4 linked regions of the Rattus norvegicus genome follow. The protein of the gene in region 1 interacts with the protein of each later gene in a biochemical or structural test. Links are inferred from orthologs where the notes say so. Each region holds a gene or a part of one and is shown in the gene's direction. Other genes may lie near its edges. The genes, in order: Jup, Ctnna1, Dsg1 and Cdh1.

What was found.
Region 2: the proteins of Jup (region 1) and Ctnna1 form a complex in vitro, tested with the Homo sapiens proteins (2 studies listed by BioGRID). The link is inferred for Rattus norvegicus from reciprocal best matches to the Homo sapiens genes JUP and CTNNA1.
Region 3: the proteins of Jup (region 1) and Dsg1 form a complex in vitro, tested with the Homo sapiens proteins (2 studies listed by BioGRID and IntAct). The link is inferred for Rattus norvegicus from reciprocal best matches to the Homo sapiens genes JUP and DSG1.
Region 4: the proteins of Jup (region 1) and Cdh1 form a complex in vitro, tested with the Homo sapiens proteins (2 studies listed by BioGRID). The link is inferred for Rattus norvegicus from reciprocal best matches to the Homo sapiens genes JUP and CDH1.

What each region holds. Positions count from the first base shown.
Region 1 is NC_086028.1:85,824,554-85,829,041, reverse strand, and holds the start of Jup (junction plakoglobin), read left to right. Parts: upstream 1-1,612; 5' UTR 1,613-1,998; exon of another isoform or gene 1,999-2,071; intron 2,072-4,488. UniProt on the Homo sapiens protein: Common junctional plaque protein. The membrane-associated plaques are architectural elements in an important strategic position to influence the arrangement and function of both the cytoskeleton and the cells within the tissue.
Region 2 is NC_086036.1:27,054,425-27,058,285, forward strand, and holds part of Ctnna1 (catenin alpha-1), read left to right. Parts: intron 1-2,333; coding exon 2,334-2,500; intron 2,501-2,954; coding exon 2,955-3,074; intron 3,075-3,861. UniProt on the Homo sapiens protein: Associates with the cytoplasmic domain of a variety of cadherins. The association of catenins to cadherins produces a complex which is linked to the actin filament network, and which seems to be of primary importance for cadherins cell-adhesion properties.
Region 3 is NC_086036.1:11,957,894-11,961,754, forward strand, and holds part of Dsg1 (desmoglein-1), read left to right. Parts: intron 1-619; coding exon 620-655; intron 656-1,082; coding exon 1,083-1,214; intron 1,215-2,285; coding exon 2,286-2,441; intron 2,442-3,729; coding exon 3,730-3,861. UniProt on the Homo sapiens protein: Component of intercellular desmosome junctions. Involved in the interaction of plaque proteins and intermediate filaments mediating cell-cell adhesion.
Region 4 is NC_086037.1:51,454,120-51,457,980, forward strand, and holds part of Cdh1 (cadherin-1 precursor), read left to right. Parts: intron 1-551; coding exon 552-695; intron 696-803; coding exon 804-959; intron 960-3,861.

The sequences.
Region 1 (4,488 bases):
AAACCCACCAAAGCTTCTTTACATCATGATTTAATCTTTGACGGAATCGCTTTGTCTGTGTCTCCCTGGAGAGGTATCCACCGTCCGCCCGAACCCCTACAAACACATACTGACCATTCTGTTCTTAAAATAAGGTGTCCAAGTTTACAGTGCACCACATTTCCTAGTCTTTCGATCTCTGGAGCTTAGTTTTAAAATCGCATTACACTGTATTTACTTTTATGTGTGTGGCACTTGTGCCAAGGCGGGAGATCAGGGGACAGAGGACAACCTTTTGGACTTGGTCTACCTCCACCAGGTATCAAACTCAGGTCATCACACTTGCCCAACTGAGACATCACACAAGCCCATTAAAGATTCTCTTAATGCGGATCATTTTGAACCCTCTTTGTAGACCAGGGTGGCCTCTAACTCAGAGAGCTGCCTGCCTCTGCCTCCTTGAGTGCCGAGGTTAAGGTTAAAGGCCCGTGTCACCACTGCCTGGCTGCCTGCTCCAGCACTTTTTAAGAACTGTCTCGAACGGACCATCTCACTGGCTTAAATACTGACATTCCTCAGCTGTTTAAGCTACAAAGTTTATTTAATCTCTCCAACCCAAGATAGATAAAGCTAATGAACCCACTTAGATACAGGGTGAAAAGTATACTAGCTGGCCTAAGGTCATACAAAGATTAAGGGGAGAACCCAAACCAGGCCTTCTAATTCTAAACAGAAGAGAACCGGGAACACTCCATCTTTTGTAGGGGGAGAAATCCCAACCTAGCACAAAGCCTATGAAATGCTTTACAAACATCTTATTACTATGTTGAGGCAAGAATGAATAATCCTGACGCTGAGTTGGCTGGCTAGTGAAGGCGTCAGTCCTTTCCCATGCTTCCCCCTGACTCACCTGTTGGACAGGTAGGGGGAAGGGGAGAATAATGAGTCTTACCTGCTCAGGGCTAGGGTGGGGCAAGTAACGCCCCACCTGTTCCATTGGCTTTTGCCTTAGTCTTACTGACAGCCCTCTGTCCAATCATAAGGAAGAAACTTTCTATTTGCCAATAGATGCAGAGTGAGGATGAGACCTCAAGTTGGCGTCCACCCCAGAGTCGACTGGCAGTCCCTGGGGCCAATGGTGAGCGCATAAACAGAGGCGGCCGTGGTAGAGGTCCCGGCGTGAGGCTCCGCCCCTCAATAGGATAGTCAGGCTGGGCAGCCAGTGAGATAACCTCAGAGGGTGGGAGTCTCCCTAGGGGGCGGAGCTTCAAGGGGGCGAGAGGTGTGGCTTGGCTGTCAGGTCCCTTTGCCTTTTGTTCGGTTACTGAGTTGCTGCCTTGGCCAGAGTCCGGAGCAGCCGCCGCCCGAGCGCCCCGAGCTCAGTTCGCTGCCTGCGCCGGCTGTCTCCCGGCCAGACCCGACCCCGACCCGGCTCGGCCCGGCTCCACGCTCAGGTACACCGGATAGGGGTACGTATCACTGAGGGTAGAGTAGGGCAAGCGGCCGAGAGGTTGGTTCCAGCGGTTTCAGGGCAGGTGAGGGCGGGTGCCAGGGAGTGCATCCTACACCAGCGACAGGGGGCGCACTGGGGTCCGGGGCACGGGACCCCTGGGACAAGCGATCTGGGTTGGAGCGCCCCTCCAGGCTCGGTGAACCGCAGGTCTGAGAAGGGCGGGGAGGAACTAGGGCAGGTGCCTCGGAGTTCGCGCCTCCCCCAGGGCCCGCGGAGCTTGCCCGACGCGGCGTCGCTGACTCTCCCCTGGAGCTGACCGGGCAGACTTTGACCCGCTCCGCCTGGTCCCAGATCCCACGGTGACAGGAATTTACCGCTCGGGAAACTTGCTGCCTAGTCTCTTTGGGGCCACCCTCACCCCACCCCACGCGTCATCCTCGCTTTCCCTCCCTCCCTACTCCCCCAGGCCTGGGTGGGGCCCTATTGTCTGCGCCCAGCTTACCCAACTGTGGGGGCCGAGTGCACATTTTCCCAGAGACGCGATTCCCACCTGCTGAGCAGAGCAGGTGAGCGCTTGGAGGACCGAGGCCCTGCCCTGTAGCTCCGAGCTGGACCTGTGGCGCCTCCCTCCGCTCTAGTGTACGCCGGTCTATGGCTTCTCTTACGGAGGTGGATGGGGTGACGGGGGAACTGGTGAAGGGTCTGGGCTCAGTGCCCTACCGATGTCTGTCTGACCTGGTGGCATGGCCTGGAGTCTGGGCCGGTAGAGAAAATTAAGAAACACTCGCCCAGATTTTAGTAGCTTGTGGTTTCCAGAGTGTTGGTAGGGAAACAGCGATATCTTTTGATTTCTGCAACCCATTATTGTTGAGAAATCACTCCAAACAAACTTTCCAGGAGAAAGTAACCGTGGGGGCCTTTTCTAGGATTTTCCCCGTCTCCTTGTTGAGAGCTGATTCAAGGCTTGGTGGTACTTCTTAGAGGAAAGCCTCTTCCCTGGTCAGCTCCAAGCTGAACACAGCCTGTGCGCTTTGACCCGGTTCTCCCTGCCCCCACCTCCATCCTGTTTGCTAGGCCCCTAAGGCCCGAGGTAGGGACCAATGGGGGTGGGTGGGGGCGTTGCTGAAAAGGGAAGTGTCTTCTTCCTTCCCTTTTCGCATCCTCACGGGACCACCACACCCCCTTATATGAGGCCTGCTAAGTGCCTCTCCTCCCAAGCTCTGCCCCTTCCCCAGGAATGGGGTTGGGGCAGGGCTGGGCCAAACTAGGAAGATTGGGAAGAGTGATTAATCTTTCCCCAACTCCCCCGTTCCATCCCCCAGCTTATTTAGCTGGCTGACCATTGAGGCAGGGTAGCATAGGGCAGGAATGTTGCTTGCTGTTCACTGGGTTTGAATTATGAAGGTGCGTCCTTTCTAGAGGACTTGCCAGAAGTCCCTCCTCCACCCACTCTTTAACTGAGTGTTTGGCGGGGAAAGTGGGACAGGAGGAAGTCTTTGCTATGGAAGGCTTCTGCCATGCCAGGCACCCTCAGGGTGAACAGTGTGAGCCCTCCCCTTGGTTCCCTGTGCTGAGAGCTCCTCTCCAGCTGGAATTGTCAACTTCTACTCGGCTTGCTGCACTCTTCTGTACAAATCTGAAGATTGGCCTTTTCATAGGCATTTGGAGTCCAGTCTTCTTGGGGGGACAGAGCAGGAATGACAACGCTAGCGGGGGGGGGGGGCAGAGGGAAGATGGGGTGGGGGTCGTGAGCACTGTTTGCTCTGATTCTCCTGGAAGCTGAGGTGGTGCTTGGTTGTGAATAGAAGAGTGGGGGTGGGAGACATATCCCCCGTAATCTCGCCTTAGGTCCTGTGGTTGGTAAAATATGTGTGACCACCTCTAGGAAGAACTGGGGGCATTAGTTTTAGGCTCATGTCCTCTCCGTGTCAAGGAGGAGGAGGGGTAGGCATTGTCATTAGGTGAACTAAATGAATAGTTTAGCAAATCTGGTTCGTGGCTCTGGTGAAAAGACAGTACTGAGGAAGAAGTAGGGCTATGAGCTGCCCGGCCCAAGCTGGCTTCTGACGGACAGGAGGGAGGGGAAGCAAAGGTAGGATCCGATTAGTCATTTCTCACCAGATCAAGTCTGGGCTTGGGTGACAGAAGCCTCCCCCGCACCCGAGCTCCACCCCATTCCCTCTGGAGCCGCCGTCTGGCCTGCTAAGGTTGAGCTTGGAGAATGCAGCCTGTGGGAACGGAAGGTCAGGCGGGGCCTGCTTGACTGTTTTCCTTCCTGGGGGCCCACAGGTCATTGCCTATGAGAGGGAGGCCTGTCGTCCTGCAGAGCTGCTTTAGGACAAGGTGACACATTTGGCTGGTCCACAGAAGGACAGTGATCTAGGGAGACAGTCTAAGGGGTCAGCTCTGAGAACAGGGACTTGGACTGAGATAGTTTGAATCCCTGAGCAGTGTCTCCTTACCTGTGCAGCCTGCGTCAAAGCACCTTCCTGGCTCAGCGACCTCAGGAATTAATAAACCTAGCTACCCAGAAAGTACTTGACTGATGGTAACTCAAAGCCAGAAGACTGTCTGGTACCAAGCGCCACTAACCATGCTCACAGAGGCAGGCGCACTTTTTTTTTTTTTTAAAGATTTATTTATTTATTTTATGTATATGAACACACTGTAGCTGTCTTCAGACATACCAGAAGAGGGTATCAGATCTCATTACAGATGGTTGTGAGCCACCATGTGGTTGCTGGGAATTGAACTCAGGACCTCTGGAAGAGCAGGCAATGCTCTTAACCACTGAGCCATCTCTCCAGCCCGAGGCAGGCGCACTTTAATGTCTTCTTCAGAAACTCAGGGAAGGATAGCAACTTGCCCAGTGTTGCTAGACTCAAGAGAGGGCTAAGCTCAGACCTCATTCTGCTGTTAGGCTCTACTACAACTCTGGAAGGATTTCTTTTTTCTTTCCCCTTTTTCTTTTGGCTGCTAAGGACCAAATCCAGGGCCTTGTGGATTTGCACGTAGGCAAGCACTTTCCCATGGGATCCATCATCGGCCCTGGATGG
Region 2 (3,861 bases), on another chromosome or scaffold:
AGATCTCATTACAGATGGTTGTGAGCCACCATGTGGTTGCTGGGAATTGAACTCAGGACCTCTGGAAGAGCAGTCGGTGCTCTTAACCACTGAGCCATTTCTCCAGCCCAAAGTAATTGATTCTTAAGAAAGGTCTTGATCTTAATCTTGTTCTAATAAAGAACTGAGGATTTATTCCCCTCTTTTGTCTTTGTTTTGAACTAATAGAAGTGCTTAATTGTTATGGTCTCTGAACGAGAGGAAAACATCAGGGTTGACAGATCTGGATTCATAGCAGATGGTGTAATAGTAGAAGGTTCTCTCTTTTTAAACTTAATTATTTTTATTTTTAATTTTAATTTATTTTTATTTTAATTTTTTTTTTTTTTAAAGACAGGGTTTCTCTATGTAGCCCTGGCTGTCCTGGTTCTTGCTCTTTAGACCAGGCTGACTTTAAAGATTTACTGACAATTATTGTAATTGAGTCTCACTATATAATAGCCCTTGATACCTTGGAGCTCACTGTATAGATCAGTCTGGCCTTGAACTTACCGAAATCTGCTTGCCTGGTTTTCTAGTGCTGAGAGTAAAGGTGTGCGCTATCACCTGATTGGTTTGCTTATTTTCTTTTTAGACATAGGTCTCATGTAGCCAGGCTGGGTTGGACCTTTTTTCATGTATTCAACTCTGTAATTGTGTTGCCTTTCCAAATGGTAGGATGATAGGCATGAGCCATTTTGTCTTACTTAAGAATCAGTCCATCAGTCAGTCAATCCCTCCCTCCCTCCCTCCCTTCCTTCGACAGTCTCACTGGATGGCCCTGGATAGCCTGGAACTCTTGTCTTTTTTTTTTTAATACATACTTTGACGTAAGTAGATTTTTTTTTTTTTTTTTTTGGTTCTTTTTTTTCGGAGCTGGGGACCGAACCCAGGGCCTTGCGCTTCCTAGGCAAGCTCTCTACCACTGAGCTAAATCCCCAACCCAGATTTTTTTTTAAAAAGATTTATTTATTTATCATATACAAGTACACTGCAGCTGTCTTCAGATACACCAGAAGAGGGCATCAGATCCCATTACGGATGATTGTGAGCCACCATGTGGTTGCTGGGAATTGAACTCAGGACCTCCGTAAGAGCAGTCGGTGCTCTTAACCACTGAGCCATCTCTCCAGCCCCCCCCCCTTTTTTTTAATTGTTTTAAAATTTTTATATGTTGTAGGTAGAGGTATGTATAAAGAGATATGTATACATATGGAGGTTATAGTTCGACTTATGAGAGCTGGTTCTTTCCTTCTGTTATGTGGCTTTCAGAGATCAAATCAAATGGCCAGGCATGGTGGCAAGTATTATCTGCTGAGTCATCTTGCTGATCTGGTTCAAGAATTGCTGATTGCTGCTGCTGATTTTCTTTTAATTTTTACAGAAAAAGCTTAGTAAAATTTTACTGGGCTGGGGAGAAGGGTTAGTGGCTAAAGTGCATTTATTATAAATGTGGTGCTTAGACCACATTTGTATCTTCAGATACAAATGTAAATTCTGGACGGGCATAGCATACCCATGTAATTCCAGCACTGGGAAGGCAAGGATAGATTTCCACAGTAAGCTAGTTAGCCAGACCAGAGCTCTGGGTTCAGTGGAGAGATCTTGCCGCAGTGAATAAGGTAAAAGGGGTCAACCGTGGGCATATACTCTCATGTGAAAAAGAAATTAGTCTTATTTATCTTAACTGCCACAGGGATAGCCTTTAAGGTGGCATTTGAGCTTAGTTCTTTTAGGACCTGTTTGTATCTTTTCTTTTTTTGTGTGTCAATTCAGAGATTGTTTTAATTGTTCAGCTTTATTTATTGGATTTTTGTAGGTGAGTGATGGGAAACTGGATCTGACTTTGTAGTCTGCCAGCCTTGAATCAGAAAGTTTTCTTTCTGAGCCTCTGGAATACTGGGATCATAGCTACAGGCCTCACACTTACATGCTCAGTGTGATTTGTATTTTGTTTTAACTAATAAGCACCTGGTAGATGGAGATTAAGTTGTTATGGTTGAAAGCTAGACTCTATTACAGCTGTTCTAAGTGTTTATCTGACTTCCTTTAGTCATTGAGTTAAGGGAAGAGCTATTTGTAAGCCTTTTTGTTATAGTGCCTAGTTACTTTCTGTGTTTGATCCTTGTTATAGGAAGATGCTTAAGTGATAGTACAAACTAAAGGGAGAAAAACAGAAACAGACTCTTAAAATCCATGTTTCTATGAAGTAATGGAGCGAGGGCTATCTTACCCTTTAATAAAATGTTAGTTTTTAATGAATAAATTATTTGGGTTAATTTCTGCTGGCTTTGTGTTTTCATTCTGTAAAACAGGAGATCTGATGAAGAGCGCTGCTGGGGAGTTTGCAGATGATCCGTGCTCTTCTGTGAAGCGAGGTAACATGGTTCGGGCAGCTCGAGCTCTGCTTTCCGCCGTTACCCGGCTGCTGATTCTGGCTGACATGGCAGATGTCTACAAGTTACTTGTTCAGCTGAAAGTTGTAAGTTTGGGTCTATGTCTATAATTTATTCTTCATGTCCTCGGGAAGTTAATGTTGGCCACACTTTGTTTAGTATTAAGAATTATTTTGGTTTTGAATCAGTTTTGATTGCTTCGTTCAGTTTCAAGTATTTATGATACAGGCTCCTCCATAGGCTACTGTTGCCTCAGTTTTGCTGAAGAAATTGTAACAAAGCTATTTTTGACTGCCTTTCTATATAGTACTCATTGTATGTTTCTTTGGACTAATGGTGTTTCCGAATTAGAAAGCCAAAATATAAACTAATTAGGTGCTCCCCAATTCTTCCAAATCACTCGAGCACTCAAGCAGTGCCAGGCCCCATCAACTACACATACATGTTGGGTTGCTGTCCGACTAGCTGTTAAAGAAGATGGCATCTTAGAACTTATTACATTTTACCTATGGATTTGATTGCTTTTCTGGTTTGTTTTAGGTGGAAGACGGCATATTGAAGCTGAGGAATGCTGGCAACGAGCAGGATCTAGGGATACAGTACAGAGCTCTGAAACCAGAAGTAGATAAGCTGAACATCATGGCAGCAAAACGACAACAGGTACAAGCACGAGTGCAGACGCTGCATGCTACTCACCTACTGATCGCTTTGTTTGTTATGGACCAGGCTAGAGTGTATTTTAATATCAGTGGGAATGACCTGATTTGCCTATGTTTTCTAATGGTGTCATTGCTTTCCCCTGTTCATGTGGTTCTAAAATTAAGTTTCGCTCACATTTCTATACAGTGTTTCTGTTTTAAGTAGTTCAAGGCTGGCTTTAAACTTTTGATTTTCCTTCCTTATGTTTTCGTCCCAGCATCTGTTTTCGTGCTGGGGTTAAAGGCATATACCAAGATGCTTGACTAGATGGTATTCTTGAGTAAAAACATAGTAACAGTCCAAAATTTATTTCTAAATAGAGAAACTTACTAGAAAGTAATTCTGTCTGAATTTTAATTCTCCGTGCCCCCGAGTTCATTAGGAATTCCTTGCACATCAGCACTTCTCAACCTGTGCATTGTGATACCAAAGATATTTATACCATCCACGCAGCACTGAGAAGGCCCTCTCATTGTATTGGAAACAGGCAAAGGGCATCCTCCCTCAAGACCACTCAGGACTCTTCCTTACCTTACAAAGCCACTAATGTCACCATGGGGTTACACTTCTCGTAATGTTAAGAGGGAAATGAGAAGAAACTTTCACTTGGATTTCCAGTGTTCTTAGTAGAGTTAGATTACTCGGAGCTTAGCTTTTTAATTTTAGTCACCAGTGCATGGAATGATACGTCAGATTTATGAAAATTAGTTTTTCCTCTCTATGTATATTTTCTGTTAGTCCTTAGCTT
Region 3 (3,861 bases), on another chromosome or scaffold:
CCTGAAACCAGCTATAAAAAGCTAATCACTGTTTAAAAGGGATTATTCATATTTTAGTGGTACACTATAGCTTTTGTATCGTCACTAAAGTCTGATTGTAAGCATGGATTTGAGGCTTTGCTCTTATGAAAAACTCAATTAGAAGCTGAATACTTCTTATTTGAAAATATATTTGCAAAACCTAAGGGTTCACACTCACATAAACTAACCCTCAGTGCAAAATAAAGTAAGGAATGTAAAAAATGTTTCGTTTTTAGTTGTACATTTTACCATGTCTTAAACAAATATACAGACACATTACTTTGACATGTGAATATCAGTGTTTTAAAAATAATCACAATTTTAGATTAAAAATCACTTAATATATCCTGCTACTTCACCACAAGTTATTGCAACATTCAGATCTGGAACTTAAGTTGAACAGAACACTGCTCATAGCACATGTGTTAATGTAGAGAGCGCTTGCTGATCAGGAGAAAGAGATAAGGAAGAGTTAGAGCCATTAATTTACCCCACACCTGTATTGTTTGATCTTATTTTTATTTTGTGTGTTTTTATTTATTGAGTAATATAGACTTTAAAATAGTTTAAAGTTAACCGTTGTGGCTGCTTTTCACAGGTGGTGCTTGAAGTTAACAGTGAATTTCAAATCCAGGTAAGATTTGAAACCTTTTTTTCCCAGACTAATAGAGTAGTGAAGGCTTGTGACCTCAGCACTCCCGAGGCTGAGGCATGAGAACTGTGGATAAGCGGTCCCCTGGGCTACAGAAAGAAACCCTGTCTCAAATCATGTAATAAACAAAAGAAAAGAAAAAACTAGAAAGAGAAAATGGGGAAAGGGACAGAGGGACAGAGGGAGCAGACCAAAAGAGAGTTGACTTGGCTGTCCTCAAGAAAACCTTCATTCTTATAAATACAAAACCACTACAGTGGGACAGTTCCAACTGCTAAAATTACCAGAGTTCTTAGTTTGCCACTAAACTATCCATCTTCTCTTCCTGACATAATTGCTCCTCCTCCAAAATCCCCAGTGGAATACCCATAAGTAACAGTTAACAGACACAACGTTTTACCTATTTAAGGTAAGAGATCATAACGCCAAAAATGGTACCATCAAGTGGCATTCCATCAGAAGGCAGAAACGAGAATGGATCAAGTTCGCCGCAGCCTGTCGGGAAGGAGAAGACAACTCAAAAAGAAACCCAATTGCCAAAGTAAGTGTGAACCCAGAACAGGAGTCTGGACCGCACAAGGGCTAGGGCGCACTTCTGGAAGAGCCCAGTTTTCATGTGCTTTGTAAACACATATTACTGAAAAGGTACGGTCTAACAGCACCGCCCCACTCAAATTATGAAAACCAAAATTCCTAAAGGGATAAACCAAGAACGTTGGGTGCTTGAATAAAGCGCTAAACACCGTTTTGTCTCATTGGCAAAAGTAACACCCATGAACGTGCGTAACACTAAACTCCAAAAGGACCATGATTTACAAATGCATTGAGGACTCAACGTGGTCAGACCATGTGCTCTTTCTGCTGCATAACCCTCAGAATTAACTCCTGTTTGCCCATATTTACAAACATCCAGAGGTTGTCTCGTTCATAACCTCAAGCTCCTCTCATTCTCCTTCTTCTTTTTTTCATACACAAAAGCACAAACTCAGGAACCTACTCCCTACATACACACAGATTCACCCCCACAGACATGTAGATACACACACAGAGATGTAAAAACAGCCATTTGTACAGATACACAGGCAACTCCCTTGTAAGATTTGCTTATATTCATAAACTATTTAGAAGTTACCACCCTTTATTGGAGTGGGTACTTTCCTTCTCCTCCCCACTTTTAAAATTAGAAGTTTCAAATAGCCTGCTACTATAAAGTCCATTTAAATACTTTCCTGAATCTTTGTATTTTTAAAGTTATATTTAATTTAAATACCAACATTACATGATAACTCTCTAAGAAGGCTATCTCTAGACAAAGAGCTAGCACAGAGTCCAAAACTAATATGAAAATAAAACTATAAATGTTTGATGATTATGACCTCTATGACTGATGTATATAAAGACTTCTTAGGGTGACATTTGTTTCTTTATTGTTTGGTAGACATAGAAATGGAATTGTTTTATTACATTGTTATTTATCATTTCCCCGTTTCTAAAAACTCCCAGGTGATGTTGTAGACCGCATACTCAACAGTTCTCCAGGAAGACAGTTGTCATCTGTTGCGTGTAGAAGTTCACATGGCCCTTGTAACATCTTCACTGTGTCTTTATACAGATTCATTCAGATTGTGCTGCAAACCAACCAGTGACATACCGCATCTCCGGAGTAGGAATTGACCAACCACCTTATGGAATCTTCATTATTAATCAGAAGACTGGCGAAATCAATATAACATCCATTGTTGATCGTGAAGTCACCCCCTTTTTCATTGTAAGTGGGCTTTGTGTCAATATCTTTATTCAAGTAGATGTTATTCCTGGAAAAATCTTAGACCATACCAGATTTGATTTCAAGAGTCTCAATATTGGGCCTTCTGAGATCTTTCTTAATTCATTACCCCAATAGATGAGGAAATATTAATAGAGAAATGTTTCCCTTATGTGTTAACAAAAATCTTAGTTTACATCAGCTCTGTAACAAATTAATTTGTTTGGAAGGACAAATCTTTAACTTCTATTCAATCTTTAAAAGAGAAACATCAGTGGAAATCAATAGTTCCTTCTTTTCATTAATTAACTTATTTACTTTGCATCCAGATCAGAGCTTTCCCTCCCCTTCCCTCCCCGTCCCCTATGTCCCCCTGCCTTTCTCCTTTTAAGCCAAGGGATGAGCCTTGAGCTCCTGGAGGCCAGTTGTTTCATGTGAACAAATTTCATTATAATCAAACTCATCTGAGCTCTAAATTAACTTCAGAAACTCACTCATCCCTACCTGGCCTTATCTCTCTTTTTTATTCCTAGACACTGTCACACAACTTCAGTAGCCTCTCTTCTAATGTGCCTTAACCTCTGACTTACCTTTTCTCTTCTGTTCTCCTCATCTATCGACTGCCTCCATTTCCATCAATCACATGGCTGACATTTCTTAATTAAAAAAAAAATAAAATAAAAATGAAAACAAACTTTTCACTGATCTTACAGTCTCTTCTATTAAAATCCCATCAAAGATCGGAGGATGAAACTCAGTGATTAAGCATTTGCTGACTCCATGAAAAGGCCTGGCTTTGATTCCCAGCCCTGAAAAAAAATCATATTCCAAGCTACCTTCAGATATTCCTTACTTTTTGCTGCCTTAATTCACACTGCTCATCTGCGTCCCTAGAATTACTTTAATCACTTGGCTTCCAAGTCCAAATCGGTATTCCAACACTTAAGAATGCCACTTATTGTTTACAGTGCTCCTGACTATCCCTGACCACATTCTCTAACGTCCTCCTCTGGCATGGCTTGATTGTAAACATAGACTATGCATCATTCCTTTTATCTAACGTACCAGGATGTTTTTAAACTTGCATTGAATGCTCTTCCTTGCCTTGTCTTATTGATTGTATAAGTTGCTCGTGTCGCTGTTTTAGTGGGAAGTAATAATAATAATAATAATAATAATAATAATAATAATAATAATGTGTCCCTTAATCCTGTGGTACCCAGGGATGCCTGCATTCTGTGAGAAGTGACAAATACATGCCTTGCCACTGACTTTTTCCTTTCCCGTCTAGATCTACTGCCGAGCACTGAATGCACAAGGTCAAGACCTGGAGAATCCACTAGAGCTTAGAGTCAGGGTGATGGATATAAATGACAACCCTCCTGTGTTTTCAATGACTACATTTCTAGGACAAATCGAGGAA
Region 4 (3,861 bases), on another chromosome or scaffold:
GAATGCTACATATTAAGAATTTAATGAGAACAGCCTGGTGGTGATGGATGGCACATGCCTTTAATTCCAGCACTTGGAAGGCAGAGGCAGGTGGATTTCTCTTTAGTTCAAGGCCAGCCAGGTCTGCAGAACAAGTTCCAGGACTGCAAAGGGCTACACAGAGAAACCCTATCTCAAACAAACAAACAAACAAACAAACAAACAAACAAACAAACAAAACTTGAGTTTTTCTTTCTGGTGGTTCAAGCCCAAATTGCACTTTTATTTTGTAGCACATCAGAGTAGCAGCACACAGGAGAGAAGACCTCTCATTAGCCACTAAGTTAGGAACAATGCTTTTAGGCATAGGGAATATTGTGGGTAGTCAGTGTCCAGACAACAGCATTTGCATTTCTTTGGCTTATGTTTTAGCTGTTCATCCTGGATGGTACATGTAATTTGTCACTGAGAAGGAGTCACTAAATTCAAGATGGAAGACGTCCATGGGATAGATGAACTGTTAGACTTGTATGTCCTCTGCATTACCTCATTTTGTTAATCTTTCCACCTAGGACCCTGTCTCTGAATCCAACCCAGAGCTGCTCACGTTTCCCAGCTTTCACCAGGGTCTGAGAAGACAGAAACGAGACTGGGTCATCCCTCCCATCAACTGCCCGGAAAATCAAAAGGGCGAATTCCCCCAGCGACTGGTTCAGGTACGGGAGGAAGCTGGTGGAAGGCACTCCTGAGAGAAGAGAAAATGTAAAGACCCCATGTGGAGATCTTGCCTTTCCAATTCCCATTCGCTTCTGTTTTCTGTTCAGATCAAATCCAACAGGGACAAAGAGACAACGGTTTTCTACAGCATCACCGGCCCAGGAGCTGACAAACCCCCTGTTGGCGTTTTCATCATTGAGAGGGAGACAGGCTGGCTGAAAGTGACGCAGCCTCTGGACAGAGAAGCCATTGACAAGTACCTTGTGAGTATTTCTTAGATATTGTTGACCACTGGATAACAATTGTCAAATTTTAAAGCAGCTGGTGTTTTATTCCCCAGTTTGGATGTCCTGGACATACAAGTAGCTTAAATTATCTTAACAAGTCGGGGCGGTTCATTGCTGTTGTCGTAGGGATTCATCATATCATGCATGAGCTTAGATAAAAGCTGTCAAAGTAGGCTGGAGGAATGGCTCAACGGGTAAGAACATTTGTTGCTCTTGAAGAGTTCACTTCCCAGCATTCATGTAGGTGGATCACAACCACCTGAAACTCCTGCTCCGGCTGCTCTGATACCTTATGACAACCTCCATTGATAACTCCACAAAAGTGTGTGTGAACACGCGCGCGCACACACACACACTCAGAGACACACACACAGAGACAGACACACACACAGAGACAGACACACACACAGAGACAGACACACACACACACACACGCAGAGACAGACACAGAGAGACAGACAGACACAGAGAGAGAGAGAGACAGAGAGACAGACACACAGATATATACTGCCAAGCTGGGGATAGGTACTGAGGTGGGAGGGACAAAGGCTAAAGACTGATGATAGTCTTATAGCTCTTCCTTACTGTTCTAGGAGCCAGAAGCTAATGGCATCTGGCAGTTTAACTCTCTTGCTATTCTATGGCTAAAAGCTGCTGATTTCTGGCAATTAACTCCTGCTGGTAGATGTAGAGGATTAAGAAAAGTAGTTAGTTGCTTGGGCTGACTCCTCTTTGACTGAGGCTGAGAGTTCTGTTAACTCTGTAAGCCAGAGAGAAAGGAAAAGTCTCTAACACAGAAAAACACTCACTCTGGATGAAGCAGAGAGAAGAAGCTCCAACAAATCTTTGTTTCTGTTCTCACTATTCACATTCTCTGAAAATCCCCTCATACAACTATCAGTTAGAACTGTTGCAGTAGGATAATCGATTACATGATTTCTATAATGTAATTTGCCCCCCCCGCCCCCCCCCCCCGGAGCTGGGGACCAAACCCAGGGCCTTGTGCTTGCTAGGCAAGCACTCTACCACTGAGCTAAATCCCCAACGATTACATGATTTCTAAACACTCTTACGTTCTGTAAGTTCATAGTAAATTTAAGGCAATAGTTATAAGATTTAAGGAGTTACAGCAGAAATGTTTACATTTCTTCCCATTAAGACTAGTATCTGATGAAACATCTGTTATCTATCTTCTAGACCCATAAATCCAATATAAGTAAATAATTTTTTTTATCACAAGTTAACACAATTTTGTTAAGAGATAAATCACCTACCTTGCGTCTTATTAGTTTTGAAGTTTTGTATAGATAAACTAGTCAATATTTTATTTGTTGTATTTGCACCTACAATAAATTGTCCATTCCCAGTTTATGACCTTTAGTTACCAGATAGTGGCCTTGTTCCTAACCTAGAAGGAATGTTTTACTTGGTCGTAAATTTGTTCCAAGCCTGCTGCTTTCTTTTTTTTTTTTTTTTTTTTGGTTCTTTTTTTCGGAGCTGGGGACCGAACCCAGGGCCTTGCGCTTCCTAGGTAAGCGCTCTACCACTGAGCTAAATCCCCAGCCCCCGCCTGCTGCTTTCTTTTCTTAGTGCAGTTAGCCTGTAACACGTGACGGTTTACAGAGCTCTGTTTGCAGCTTTTTCTTCTGTAGGGGACTTGAGATTACTTGTATCAATTTAGGAATTTTATAAAATCATTATCAAGAATTATGAAATCATCAATTCTATAGGCATTACTATATGAAAGCACATCTTCATATTGATTCTGTAGGAGATGTGCCCAATAGGGTGGGCTGATGCCCAGGAATTGGCTGTGCGATAGTGAAAGGAAATACAGTAGCAAGAAGCAATCCTGGGATGAAGTCTCTGAGGACCCTGCATTCTCAGAGCTCACCCATCGCACCTATACAAAATGGTGGCCATCTCCAGAAACCTCACTTGTATGCCTTAGCCTTTCCTAAGTGACTTCTGACATATACACATACATAACAAAAATTGTAAGATGTTGACTTGGCTCAGAAGATGGCTTAGTTATTTTTTTGTTTTTTGGTTTTTTTTTTTTTTTTTTTGTTTGTTTGTTTTCTTCTTCTTCTTTTTTTTTTTTTGGAGCTGGGGACTGAACCCAGGGCCTTGCGCTTGCTAGGCAAGCGCTCTACCACTGAGCTAAATCCCCAACCCTGATGGCTTAGTTGTTAAGAGCACTGGTTGTTCTTGTAAAGGACCTGAGTTTGGTTCCCCATACTGACACGGTAGCTCATAACCATCTGTAACTCAGGTCCAAGGGGACTCAGTGACTTCCTTAGGTATTAGCTCAGGTATATATATGGTATATATACATACCTGGAGCCAAAATATTCGTGTGTGTGTGTGTGTGTGTGTGTGTGTGTGTGTGTGTGTAAAAGAGAGGGGGTGGGGAATAGAGAAATGGCTTAGCAGGTAAGAACACTGGCTACCCTTTCAAAGGACCTGGTTCAATCTGTAGCACACCCAGCAGCTCAGAACTGCCTGTAACTCCAGTTCCTAAGGATTCAACACTCTCACACAGACATATATGCAGACAAAACACCAGTACACATAAGTAAATAAATATTTTTTTTAAATTGGTGTTCTGCCTGCATGTATGCTTGCACACCAGTAGAGGTTATCAGATCTCATTATAAGTGGTTGGTTATGAGCCACCATGTGGATCCTAGGGATTGAACAAAGGACCTGTAGAATGATCTTAATCTCTGAGCCATCTCTCCAGCCCCAAATAAATCTTTAGAAAAAAAAAAAAAAGTCAACTTGTTCTTGGGGAGAAATTTCTTACCTAGATGATACATATTCTGATAATAACTAGGGTACAAAGCTCACTTCTGAGACTTGGTTGCAGTGTGAA